2 linked regions of the Saccharomyces cerevisiae S288C genome follow. Changing the gene in region 2 together with the main gene of any one other region gives a genetic interaction. Each region holds a gene or a part of one and is shown on either strand. Other genes may lie near its edges.

Region 1 (7,146 bases), 570 kb from region 2:
AAAACTTGCAATATTTTCAAACCAATGCTATTCCAGTTCGTTTGAGTATAATATTCGTAACAGGAAAGGAAAAGCGAGACTGCCTCCTCATATTTCTTTCCCTGATAGTAAAGCAAACCTATCTCAATGGATAAAATATCTACTATCCTTTGACGCTTCCCTTCACATTTGTTGAAGAGAGAAAGAATTTCTTTGGTGAGAGTAAGGAAGTTTTCTTGGAAGACAGTTTCATCGACAAAAGTTTCTTTTAATAGATCAAATTTGTATTTAACGTCACTATTAGGGTAGTTTTTGTCCATTAGTCTATAACCACTTGTAGCCATAACACCTTGCACCCAGTTGTCGCGCTTCAACATTAATAACTCAGCTTTGATTTCACACAAGAGAGGATTTGAGACATTCTCAAATTCAAAATATGACAGCATCGAAGTTATAAAATAGTGCTTAAATTCCAATAATCTCACAGACTTTCTATACTCTATTGATATGGATTCAATAAAATTCTTGATTAGTTGAAATGCTCCTACAAAGGCGGTCAACGTCTGGTCCTCTAGTTTTAGAAGTCTTAACCTTCTAATGAAAAAATACTTATGCAATTGAAACTTATCGAGTGTACCTTCTATTATTATGGAGCCCAGTGATTCATCTGATTTAGAAGATGATTCAAAAGGTACCTGAAGTTTTCCATCCGGCATATTCATGTTTCTACGGAGTATTTCTTTTTTGATTTTTTGCAATTCCAGGCTGGCATCTTCCAAAATATTGAATACCACATATAACTCGTACAATTTTTCTCTTGTCAAAAGCTGTTCCTCAAAGTTATTTCCTTTTTGTAAATTGGCCAACGAATGTTGCAAATGTGTCAATCGTTTTTGAAAGATGCTCAGTACGGAAGCCTTAATCTTTTGGCTAAATTGGTTCCAAAACTCCTGCCTTTCTTTGGGAGATCTATAAACCGATCGAACTTCCAAAGTTTGTACATGCGGAAAGTCTTTGCCAAATTTCTCCATTAGGGATACCGATTTGAATAGGTTAGAGTCCACTACTTCAGAATTGGCATACAGTAAAATAATTGGTTTATAAATCATTTTTTCTCCTGTCGATGAAGATACAGATTCCAGATTTGGTAGCCACTGTCTCACAAGAGGCCGTACTTTGGCCCTGTATTGGTCGATAGAGATACAGTTCACTATCAAAAATCTGATAAACGGCTGTTCATCATTAGACTTGTCTGCCTCCCCTCTACCTTCTGGAATCAATTCAATTGGAAGCCTGTTAACCGTTCGTACAGTTCCGTCAAATGCCTTCCAATGTATATTGTCTAACGGTAAAATCTGCTGAAACTCTGGCCTCAGACTCTCAAATAAATCAAACGGGTCAAAATAGCTGACAGGAACCGATCCACAATATATTTCTTTATCCATCTACTATATTAGCATGTAAAAGCAAGTTCACTGGCTATTTTTATTGCTTTTATGCTCACTTTCTTTCAAAACTTCTAACTTGCACTTTTCACCATTTTCATGTTCCGCGAGCTGTTCTTAAGAAGTGAAAACAAAGGAATTTAAAATGCGAGAAAGTCTTTAGTCCTATTGACAAGTATATTGAACACGTTGTAAATTCACCAAGGGGTTAAGTACAAGAACCAATAAATCTATACTGTGAAAATATGTCAAAAAAAAAAGAAACCTTTACTCCAAGGGCAAATAAACTTAAACTGACGACCCCAAGAAGAAAACTGAAAATACTGTCATCTCTCCTTGACGCGGACGAGGATTCCAAAATGAAAGATCAACATGGGTACTCAAGGGTCCACAATGATAAATACAGAGTAGCAAAGCCTACTCAGCACTCGACTTTACATGAATCTATTTCCTCCAGGCGAAGCAGTCATATTCATAATAAATCCCTTCATGAAGATAGTGCGAGGGCATTAAGCTGGGTAGATTCTCTAATTAATAGGGGGAAAAGTATACTTACTACACTAGAAAAGGAAGATGCCTTGTTTGAGCGTAGTCTTGAGGAGGAAAGACAACGTTTTCAGCTTCATGACTCTTTAATGAACAAGTACACAGGAAACAGTAAATCTCATCAGCGACTAATCGATCTCAGGAAGAGCCAATACGGAACGGATACTTCTTTCCAAAATAATGATGAAATTCCCTTAGATAGTTTCATAAGTTCTCCCTTACCGGACGCTGAGGACGAGTCGTCCTCAAATATCGACTCCGATAAGGATGAAGATCTGGAAGGTAAACAATCTTTAATCAAAGATTTCGATCTTGAAAATGATGAATACGAGCTCTCTGAAGAAGAAAAGAATAGTGACGGCCAAAGTAGTCCTTCAATAATGATATTATCAGATGAAGAATATGCAGAGGAAGGAGCACTACAAGATGTATCGAATGATGAATATGCCGAAGAGGAGGGGCAAGTTGAGAGAAAGAATATAGGGCAAGAACAGGCAAATGTAGAGAATGCTACACAAATTAGTTCTTCTGATTCCAGTGAAGGACAGAATTATTCAGAGGGAGTAGAAATGGAATTAGAAGACGACATTGATGTGGAAAGCGATGCTGAAAAAGATGAAAGTCAGGGTGCAGAAGGAACAGAACATTCGGTAGATTTTTCAAAATACATGCAGCCTAGAACAGATAATACTAAGATCCCCGTTATCGAAAAATATGAATCTGATGAGCACAAAGTCCATCAAAGATATTCAGAAGACGGTGCATTTGATTTCGGTTCAGTAAATATTTCAGTTGACGATGAGTCCGAGGATGAAGAAAGTCAAGCTGAAAGTTACTCAGCAAATGCTGAAAATGTGTACCACCATAATGAACATGAACTGGATGATAAGGAACTAATAGAAGATATAGAATCTTCAGATAGTGAATCCCAAAGTGCACAAGAAAGCGAACAAGGAAGTGAAGATGATTTTGAATATAAAATGAAAAACGAAAAAAGCACGTCAGAAGAAACTGAGAATACCAGCGAAAGCAGAGACCAAGGTTTCGCTAAAGATGCTTATACTAAGAACAAAGTGGAACAACAGGAAAATGACGAAGAACCTGAAAAAGATGACATTATCAGAAGCTCTCTAGACAAAAATTTTCACGGAAACAACAACAAAAGTGAATACTCGGAAAATGTTTTGGAGAATGAAACTGATCCTGCTATAGTAGAAAGAGAAAATCAAATTAACGATGTTGAAGGTTATGACGTAACAGGAAAAAGTGTCGAAAGTGATTTGCACGAGCATTCCCCTGATAATTTGTATGATCTCGCCGCAAGGGCTATGCTTCAATTCCAACAAAGTAGAAATTCGAACTGCCCTCAAAAAGAGGAGCAGGTATCCGAATCTTATTTAGGGCACTCAAATGGAAGCAACTTATCGGGCAGGTCTTTAGACGAATCCGAAGAGCAAATACCCCTAAAGGACTTCACAGGTGAAAACAATAATAATTTAAAAACAGACCGAGGTGATCTTTCATCTTCTGTTGAAATAGAGGTTGAAAAAGTTTCTGAAAAGAAACTGGACGGTTCTACAGAAAAAGAACTGGTACCACTATCCACAGATACTACGATTAACAATTCATCATTAGGAAATGAAGACAGTATCTATTATTCACTCGATGACGCTGATGCTATATCAGAGAATCTTACCGATGTTCCTCTTATGGAAATCAAAACAACTCCGAAATATGAAGTAGTAATTTCTGAATCTGTGTATAGTTCTACTTCTTACGAAGATAACACAGTTGCCATGCCACCGCAAGTGGAGTACACTTCACCATTTATGAATGACCCATTCAATTCGTTGAACGATGATTACGAAAAGAAGCATGACCTACTGAAATCAACGTTAGCAGCCCTTGCCCCAGCTTTCACCAAAAAGGATGCAGAATTTGTGGAAGCTGGAGTGACGAAATCATGCTTGACATCTACATCTGGGCACACAAACATTTTTCACACAAGTAAGGAAACTAAACAGGTGAGCGATTTGGATGAATCTACGGAAAACGTTACTTTTGAAAATGAAAATACAGGTGATGAAAATAAAAATCAAAGTAAAAATTTTCCAGGCGTGGCTAACAGTACTGACAAGTCAACTGAAGATAACACGGATGAAAAGTACTTTTCAGCGATTAATTATACCAACGTTACAGGAGACTCTTCCTGCGAGGACATAATTGAAACGGCTTCAAATGTAGAAGAAAATTTAAGATACTGTGAAAAGGATATGAACGAAGCTGAGATGTCTTCTGGCGATGAATGCGTAAAACAGAATGATGATGGTAGTAAAACTCAAATTTCGTTTTCAACAGATTCGCCAGACAATTTTCAAGAAAGCAACGACAACACTGAATTCTCTTCTACTAAATATAAAGTAAGAAATAGTGATCTTGAAGACGACGAATCACTCAAGAAGGAACTTACAAAAGCTGAAGTAGTTGATAAGCTTGATGAAGAGGAAAGTGAGGATTCATATGAACAAGATTATGCGGATCCAGAACCAGGCAATGATGAAGGCAGTAATGAAAATATAGTTAAAGGTACAAAAAAGGATACTCTCGGAATAGTAGAACCAGAAAATGAAAAAGTTAATAAGGTGCACGAAGAAGAAACACTTTTCGAAGCCAATGTCAGTTCATCCGTAAATGTTCAGAACAAAGACATGCACACCGACGTCATCAATCAAGAGGCGCAAGCGAATTACGAAGCTGGTGAAAGAAAATACTATATCCAGAATACAGATACGGAGGAAGCACACATTTCCATTATCGAAAGAATAGATGAGAATGCGATTGGAAATAATATGGAGATCCCAGAAAGGTCGTGCGTGGAAAAAACGCACAACGAAGTGCTCTTTGAAAGAAGAGCAACTACCATTGAAAACACAAAAGCCCTGGAAAATAATACCAATATGCATGATCAGGTTAGCCAAGCTTGCTCTGATTCAGACCGAGACCAAGACTCCACAGCTGAAAAAAATGTTGAGGGATCTGCAAAACATAATTTGGACATTCGGGTGTCCAGTTCGGAAATTGAGTCTGTGGAACCATTGAAGCCAGAATCTGATCGATCAAATATTTTTTCATCCCCAATTCGTGTTATTGGAGCTGTAGTTAAGGGAGTGGGTAAGGTAGTCGACGTAGCTGAATCATTCGTGAAAAAAATTGATGTTATGGATTCTGAGAGTGATGATAACGTTGATATTGGTGATTATAATCAAGACATTTTTAACAAGTCGAATTCTACCGATGCATCTGTTAATATGAAAAGTGTAAGTAGCAAAGAGAGAGACAGCGATGAAGATGAAGCTGTCATACTCGGAGGAGTTACCGCAGAAGCACATAATGACAATGGTAATAATTCTCGTGTGATAAACATCGATCCCACGACAAACGGTGCTTATGAAGAGGACTCCGAAGTGTTTCGACAGCAAGTAAAGGACAAGGAAAATTTGCATAAGTCGGAAGAGCCGCTAGTTGAAGGTTTACAATCCGAGCAACATTTCGAAAAGAAAGACCACAGCGAGAATGAAGAAGAATTTGATACCATATATGGAGATATAACATCAGCAAATATTCACAGTAATGCCCCCGATGATATTAAGAGACAACAACTCCTAAAGAATCTAAGTGACCTAGAGAATTATTCTCAGAGGCTCATTGAAGATTCCAGGAGAGGAAAAAATCAAGAAGAATCAGACGAAGTTAATACAAGCCGTGAACGGGATCTCACGTTTGAAAAGTCCGTTAATGAGAAATATGCTGGAGCAATTGAAGAAGACACTTTTTCGGAGTTAGATATTAGCATTCAACACCCCGAACATGAAGAAGACCTGGACCTATCAAACAATCAGGAGAGGTCAATAGAAGAACTAAATTCAGAGCCAGAAGAAGCTGAGTTGTACGAATTGGAAATAGAGGGCCCTACAGAGACAGCAGCTTCTAGTAAAATGAATGATGATGAAAGGCAACGCGGAAATATACCGTCCACAGATCTTCCATCTGATCCTCCGTCTGATAAGGAAGAAGTGACAGATTCTTATCCCTATTCAAATTCGGAAAATATTACCGCTGAAAAGAGTGCGCCAACATCACCGGAAGTGTATGAAATATTCTCAGACACGCCAAATGAAGTCCCTATGGAAATTAATGATGAAATTCCCGCCACCACGCTTGAGAAACACGATAAAACCAATGTAACATCCGTTTTGGATGATAGATCAGAACATTTATCTAGCCACGATGTTGATAATGAGCCACACGATAATTCCATTAACATCAAAGTAAATGAAGGTGAGGAGCCCGAACATCAAGCAGTGGATATACCTGTTAAAGTAGAAGTTAAAGAAGAACAGGAGGAAATGCCTTCAAAATCTGTACTTGAAGAACAGAAACCAAGTATGGAACTAATCAATGATAAAAGTTCTCCAGAAAATAATAATGATGAGGAAACAAACCGCGAAAAGGACAAAACTAAAGCAAAAAAGAAAAGCCGTAAAAGAAACTACAACAGCAGAAGACGGAAAAGAAAAATCACAGAAGGCAGTTCTGCCGCATCAAATACTAAAAGGCGTAGGGGGCACGAGCCAAAAAGCCGTGGACAGAATACGCATCCAAGTGTTGACAAATAATCAAATTGTATACAGGAATATGTAGATAGTAATAATTATTGCGATGCGTTTTTCTATACGAGATCTAAAAGGAAAAAAGTTCGGTTTTAAGGCGGAGTTAACGTCATGTCGAATGGAAAGAAAGATTATATAAAGAATGGAAAAACAAAAAAGGTGAAAAAACATCTTGGAAGGCCTCATAATAAATCAATCGGCTGCCTCGAGAAATGTCAGAGTTGAGAGCCTTCAGTGCCCCAGGGAAAGCGTTACTAGCTGGTGGATATTTAGTTTTAGATACAAAATATGAAGCATTTGTAGTCGGATTATCGGCAAGAATGCATGCTGTAGCCCATCCTTACGGTTCATTGCAAGGGTCTGATAAGTTTGAAGTGCGTGTGAAAAGTAAACAATTTAAAGATGGGGAGTGGCTGTACCATATAAGTCCTAAAAGTGGCTTCATTCCTGTTTCGATAGGCGGATCTAAGAACCCTTTCATTGAAAAAGTTATCGCTAACGTATTT
Region 2 (4,239 bases):
TAGTTTAATTCCATCAGAACTTCTCTTTAAGTAATGTTCAGTTTTTGCACCTCTTCGGCGTAATCTCTTCTGACCTCCATCGATTATATTTCCCTGCTCATCAGTTGTTATTATCTCCCAACCCTGTAAATCCTTCAACGTTTTTGCCATCTTATCTACTCTATTGTGGTTTTTGTAATGAGTATTAATCAATAGGGAATGAGTTCCTGCTTCTGGAAACTTTTAGGCTGAATTTGCCGCCTATGCAGTTTTCTTTCCCTTTGCGCAACTTCATCTCTTCTCAATGTTGTTGTTTTTCTATGATTTTCGATCTGGCCGTGTCAACGTTAATAAAAAATAAGTCGAGGAAGAGAGTAGTTACATATGTAGTGGTGTTCGTTGGTGCAATATTTGTTGATATAACGATGAGACAGGTCACCAAAGAATTTCAAATATTTGAGGTTTATATCTTTTCTAATTTGGCGCCAAGTTATTATCCTGTGATACCCAGTAAGACAAAAAATGCCCCATAGCAGTCCTTATCTTAATACTGACCATTATGAAGGGGCTTACATTGTACAAACATATTTGTAATAGAATGTACCGGATATTTAAAATAACCCAAGCATCAATTGTGTAGTATTCTTAATTTTTTTTCTTGGTAAATTTTTGGGAGAACATTTTTTTGTGTCATCTTAGGGGAAATTATAAACCATTATACACTCCATACCATGCACTTACTTAAATTCTATGGACACATCCATCAATTAAAAGATAAAACTAATAAATAGAAGCATGTTATATATGAATATATATATTCTTTCTGTCATAATATAAAAGGGCGAGCATGTTATTCCCTAAACGTCTGATTGTGTGGGGTGTTCTATTGATTTTAAGTTTATCACAATTTGTCCTCTACCTGCCAGCCACAACATGTACGAACTCTAAGGGACTTAGGTTATGCGCTCCACAGTTTACTATAACTGTGATTGGAGGATCCAGTACTGCAAATGAGTTTATTGCAAGTGTAAGAGAATTTCTGCGATTGATTTCGTACCTGACAATTGACATGGGTTGGTCGAATGAATTCACTGATCCAAGTGTGTATGAGGATGAAAATTTGGTGGACACATTTCAGCCTGATAAGGTTTTTGAGCTCAATTATTTTGGATTTTGTAAACGGAGTAATAAAAGCAAAGTTTATTGTACCTCTAATGAGAATTATGGCATGGACGTACTTGAAGTACTTGTCAGAGACGTCGGGATTCAATTAGGTAACATTTCCACTACACGATCGAATGAAACCAAAAAATTCGGAGACTCTCTCGTATTGACCTACCGTTTGGCATTGACATCTATTCGTGATTTTTTGAAACACGACAAGCACACAGGAAATGCCCTATCAAAGGCTTTGATTGGCAGTCCTGATCCAAATGTAAAAGGCGTGTCACCAACAAAAAACTATCTGAAAGGCGTCAACCTGGCATTTATACTGATGATGTTCAACGGCATGGTTTTTTACTTTGCAGTGTTGGAAATAATAGTCGGATTCCTCAGTATCTGCGTAGTGTCAGCCTTTGGGGGAGCACTTAGTGTTGGGAAACGACACCGCTTATTTCCTATGCTTTTGAAGTCATCAAGTTCAATATTAGTTGTTATTGCTACATTGACAATATTATGTAACATCGTATATTTGATTGCACTGAAAACATTAGAACCTGAAGAGGTAACAGACGTAGGATCTGACAACGCTGCTGTACACACTACAGGCTGGGAACTGTTAAAAGTAAACGTGGGAAGTGGGTTCATTATGGGGCTCGCCAGGTATGCCATCCAGTGGGTCCTATTGGTACTCGCATTTCTTGCAGCAAATCATTACAAAGCTAAGCCCAAAAAGTCTGATAAGTATACAGAAGACACATCTAACTCCCCTTCTCCAGACTTGATGGAGAAGTAATTCACCACAGAACTTTTTTTTCAAATGACAGTAAATATGTAAACATATACACAGCCTTTCAGTATATTAAGTATTTTTGCATAACGTCCTTTTTTCCCGCTCGGTCAAGGCTTTGAAAAGATATTATCAATGTTCTATTCTTACTGAGAAAAGCGTTCCTCCAAAATGCTTTTGCTGTAACGTACAGGCAGAGACTTCAGGAGTATATAATGGCAGGATTGAAGACATTTGATGCGTTTCGTATGTTATATGGATTTTTCTGAAGTAGCCCGCTTCAGCATATTTTATTTTTGCTTTTGCTTTTTCACTAACAATGGAAATTTAACTTTACAGCAAAAACTGAAGAACAGTACAAGAAGAAATCCACCAAGGGTGGCTTAACATCTTTGTTGACATATCTGTTTCTGTTGTTTATAGCATGGACCGAGTTTGGTGAATACTTCGGTGGTTATATTGACCAGCAGTACGTAGTGGACAGTCAAGTTAGAGATACCGTTCAAATTAATATGGATATATACGTCAACACGAAATGTGATTGGTTGCAAATCAACGTCAGAGACCAAACAATGGATCGGAAACTTGTATTAGAGGAATTGCAATTGGAAGAGATGCCATTCTTTATTCCTTATGACACAAAAGTCAATGATATCAATGAAATTATTACGCCGGAATTGGATGAAATCTTAGGGGAAGCTATCCCAGCAGAATTTAGAGAAAAACTAGATACTAGGTCATTTTTTGATGAAAGTGATCCTAACAAGGCACATCTTCCGGAATTCAATGGGTGCCATGTATTTGGGTCCATTCCGGTAAATAGAGTTAGTGGCGAATTGCAGATTACAGCGAAGAGTTTAGGTTACGTGGCTTCACGCAAAGCACCACTGGAAGAATTAAAATTTAATCATGTTATTAATGAGTTCTCTTTTGGTGATTTCTATCCATATATTGATAACCCATTGGATAACACTGCACAGTTTAATCAGGATGAACCTTTAACTACTTACGTCTATTACACATCTGTTGTGCCCACTCTTTTCAAGAAATTGGGGGCAGAAGTGGATACTAATCAATATTCTGTTAACGATTACCGCTATTTGTACAAAGATGTCGCTGCTAAAGGTGATAAAATGCCGGGCATCTTCTTCAAATACAATTTCGAACCATTATCCATAGTAGTTTCTGATGTTCGTTTAAGCTTTATACAGTTTTTGGTCAGATTAGTGGCAATCTGCTCATTTTTGGTCTACTGTGCTTCGTGGATTTTCACACTACTGGATATGGCTCTTATCACCATCATGGGACCTAAGTGGTCCTTGCGTTATCAGCCAGATGATAAAACTAAGGGTATTTTAGATAGGTAGATATGTAAAAGAAAAGAGAATGCAGTATACCCAAGATAACGTTTCATTTTCATCTGTATAAATTTCATGACAATAGATTATAAGAAAAAGTGTGAGACTGAAGGCAGAGCGATCGCACTCAAGTTTCTGTGCCAGGCATACCTTCAAACAATCGTCCATAACAGCCTGAATATGCTTCTCTAAAATGTTCATAAGGGTCCTCAGGATAAAGTAATACTCCGCATATAAAACAGAACAGCGTCCCGCATACTTCGCATTTCATTTTATTGCAACCTTCACTTCTTTCTACAACTACCTTACACTTTGGACATCGCTGCAAATTCGAACCCTCTTTTTTAATCGCTAAATCTAACATTTTTTCAGCAAGGTAATCATTGACTTCAAGTTCTAATACTCTTCTCCCATATTTTGCCTCCAGTTTCCGCTTTCTCTCATATGAAGTAACGGTATCATCTAGATATTCCTCAATAATATCGGTCGATAACGAAACTTTCTTGCCACATTTATTGTTGTAACCATGCCAGGCATGCAAGCAGTCAAAGCAAAATACAAAATGACATTTTTGACACTGAATCATCGCATCATCGAGGTCTTCTTTTGTGCACCAACTATCACATCTTCGACAAGTCACACAAGCATACGGACAATATTTTGAGAGTCTTGTAGCCGCCTGGTTGTAGAACATTTTTTCGTATCTTTCACATAGCTCTGTATCGATAACCTCTTTTAAGAAGGACACTGGAATCAAAGGTGTAAACAATGCCTTCAGCATTTTTTTATAGCTCTTGAAATCTTCTAGTTTTAATTCTTTGTATTCGCATTGTGGACATCTTACACTGGATATTCGGTTTTCCTGAATCATTGCAGTGAAATAAGATTTGGCGCATCCTCTGCAAAGATAGTGTTCTACATTCGCATTTTCACATGGCAATTTGATCATTC

What was found. Genes that interact genetically often act in the same process or in processes that back each other up.
Region 1: mutations in ERV41 (region 2) and ESC1 together harm fitness more than expected from each alone (negative genetic interaction), as found in Saccharomyces cerevisiae (2 studies listed by BioGRID).

The regions. Positions count from the first base shown.
Region 1 is NC_001145.3:705,464-712,609, forward strand, and holds ESC1 (Esc1p), read left to right. Parts: upstream 1-1,669; coding exon 1,670-6,646; downstream 6,647-7,146. Other genes in the region: transport protein particle complex II subunit TRS130, read right to left, coding at 1-1,424; ERG8 (phosphomevalonate kinase), read left to right, coding at 6,853-7,146. UniProt on the Saccharomyces cerevisiae protein: Involved in the clustering of telomeres at the nuclear periphery, forming discrete subcompartments that accumulate a complex of histone-binding silencing factors like SIR4. Required for SIR4-mediated anchoring and partitioning of plasmids.
Region 2 is NC_001145.3:138,121-142,359, reverse strand, and holds ERV41 (Erv41p), read left to right. Parts: upstream 1-2,145; coding exon 2,146-2,176; intron 2,177-2,269; coding exon 2,270-3,297; downstream 3,298-4,239. Other genes in the region: ORC1 (origin recognition complex subunit 1), read right to left, coding at 1-150; SMA2 (Sma2p), read left to right, coding at 827-1,936; ITT1 (RBR-type E3 ubiquitin transferase), read right to left, coding at 3,416-4,239. UniProt on the Saccharomyces cerevisiae protein: Constituent of COPII-coated endoplasmic reticulum-derived transport vesicles. Required for efficient transport of a subset of secretory proteins to the Golgi. The C-terminal Ile-Leu motif is required for exit from the endoplasmic reticulum.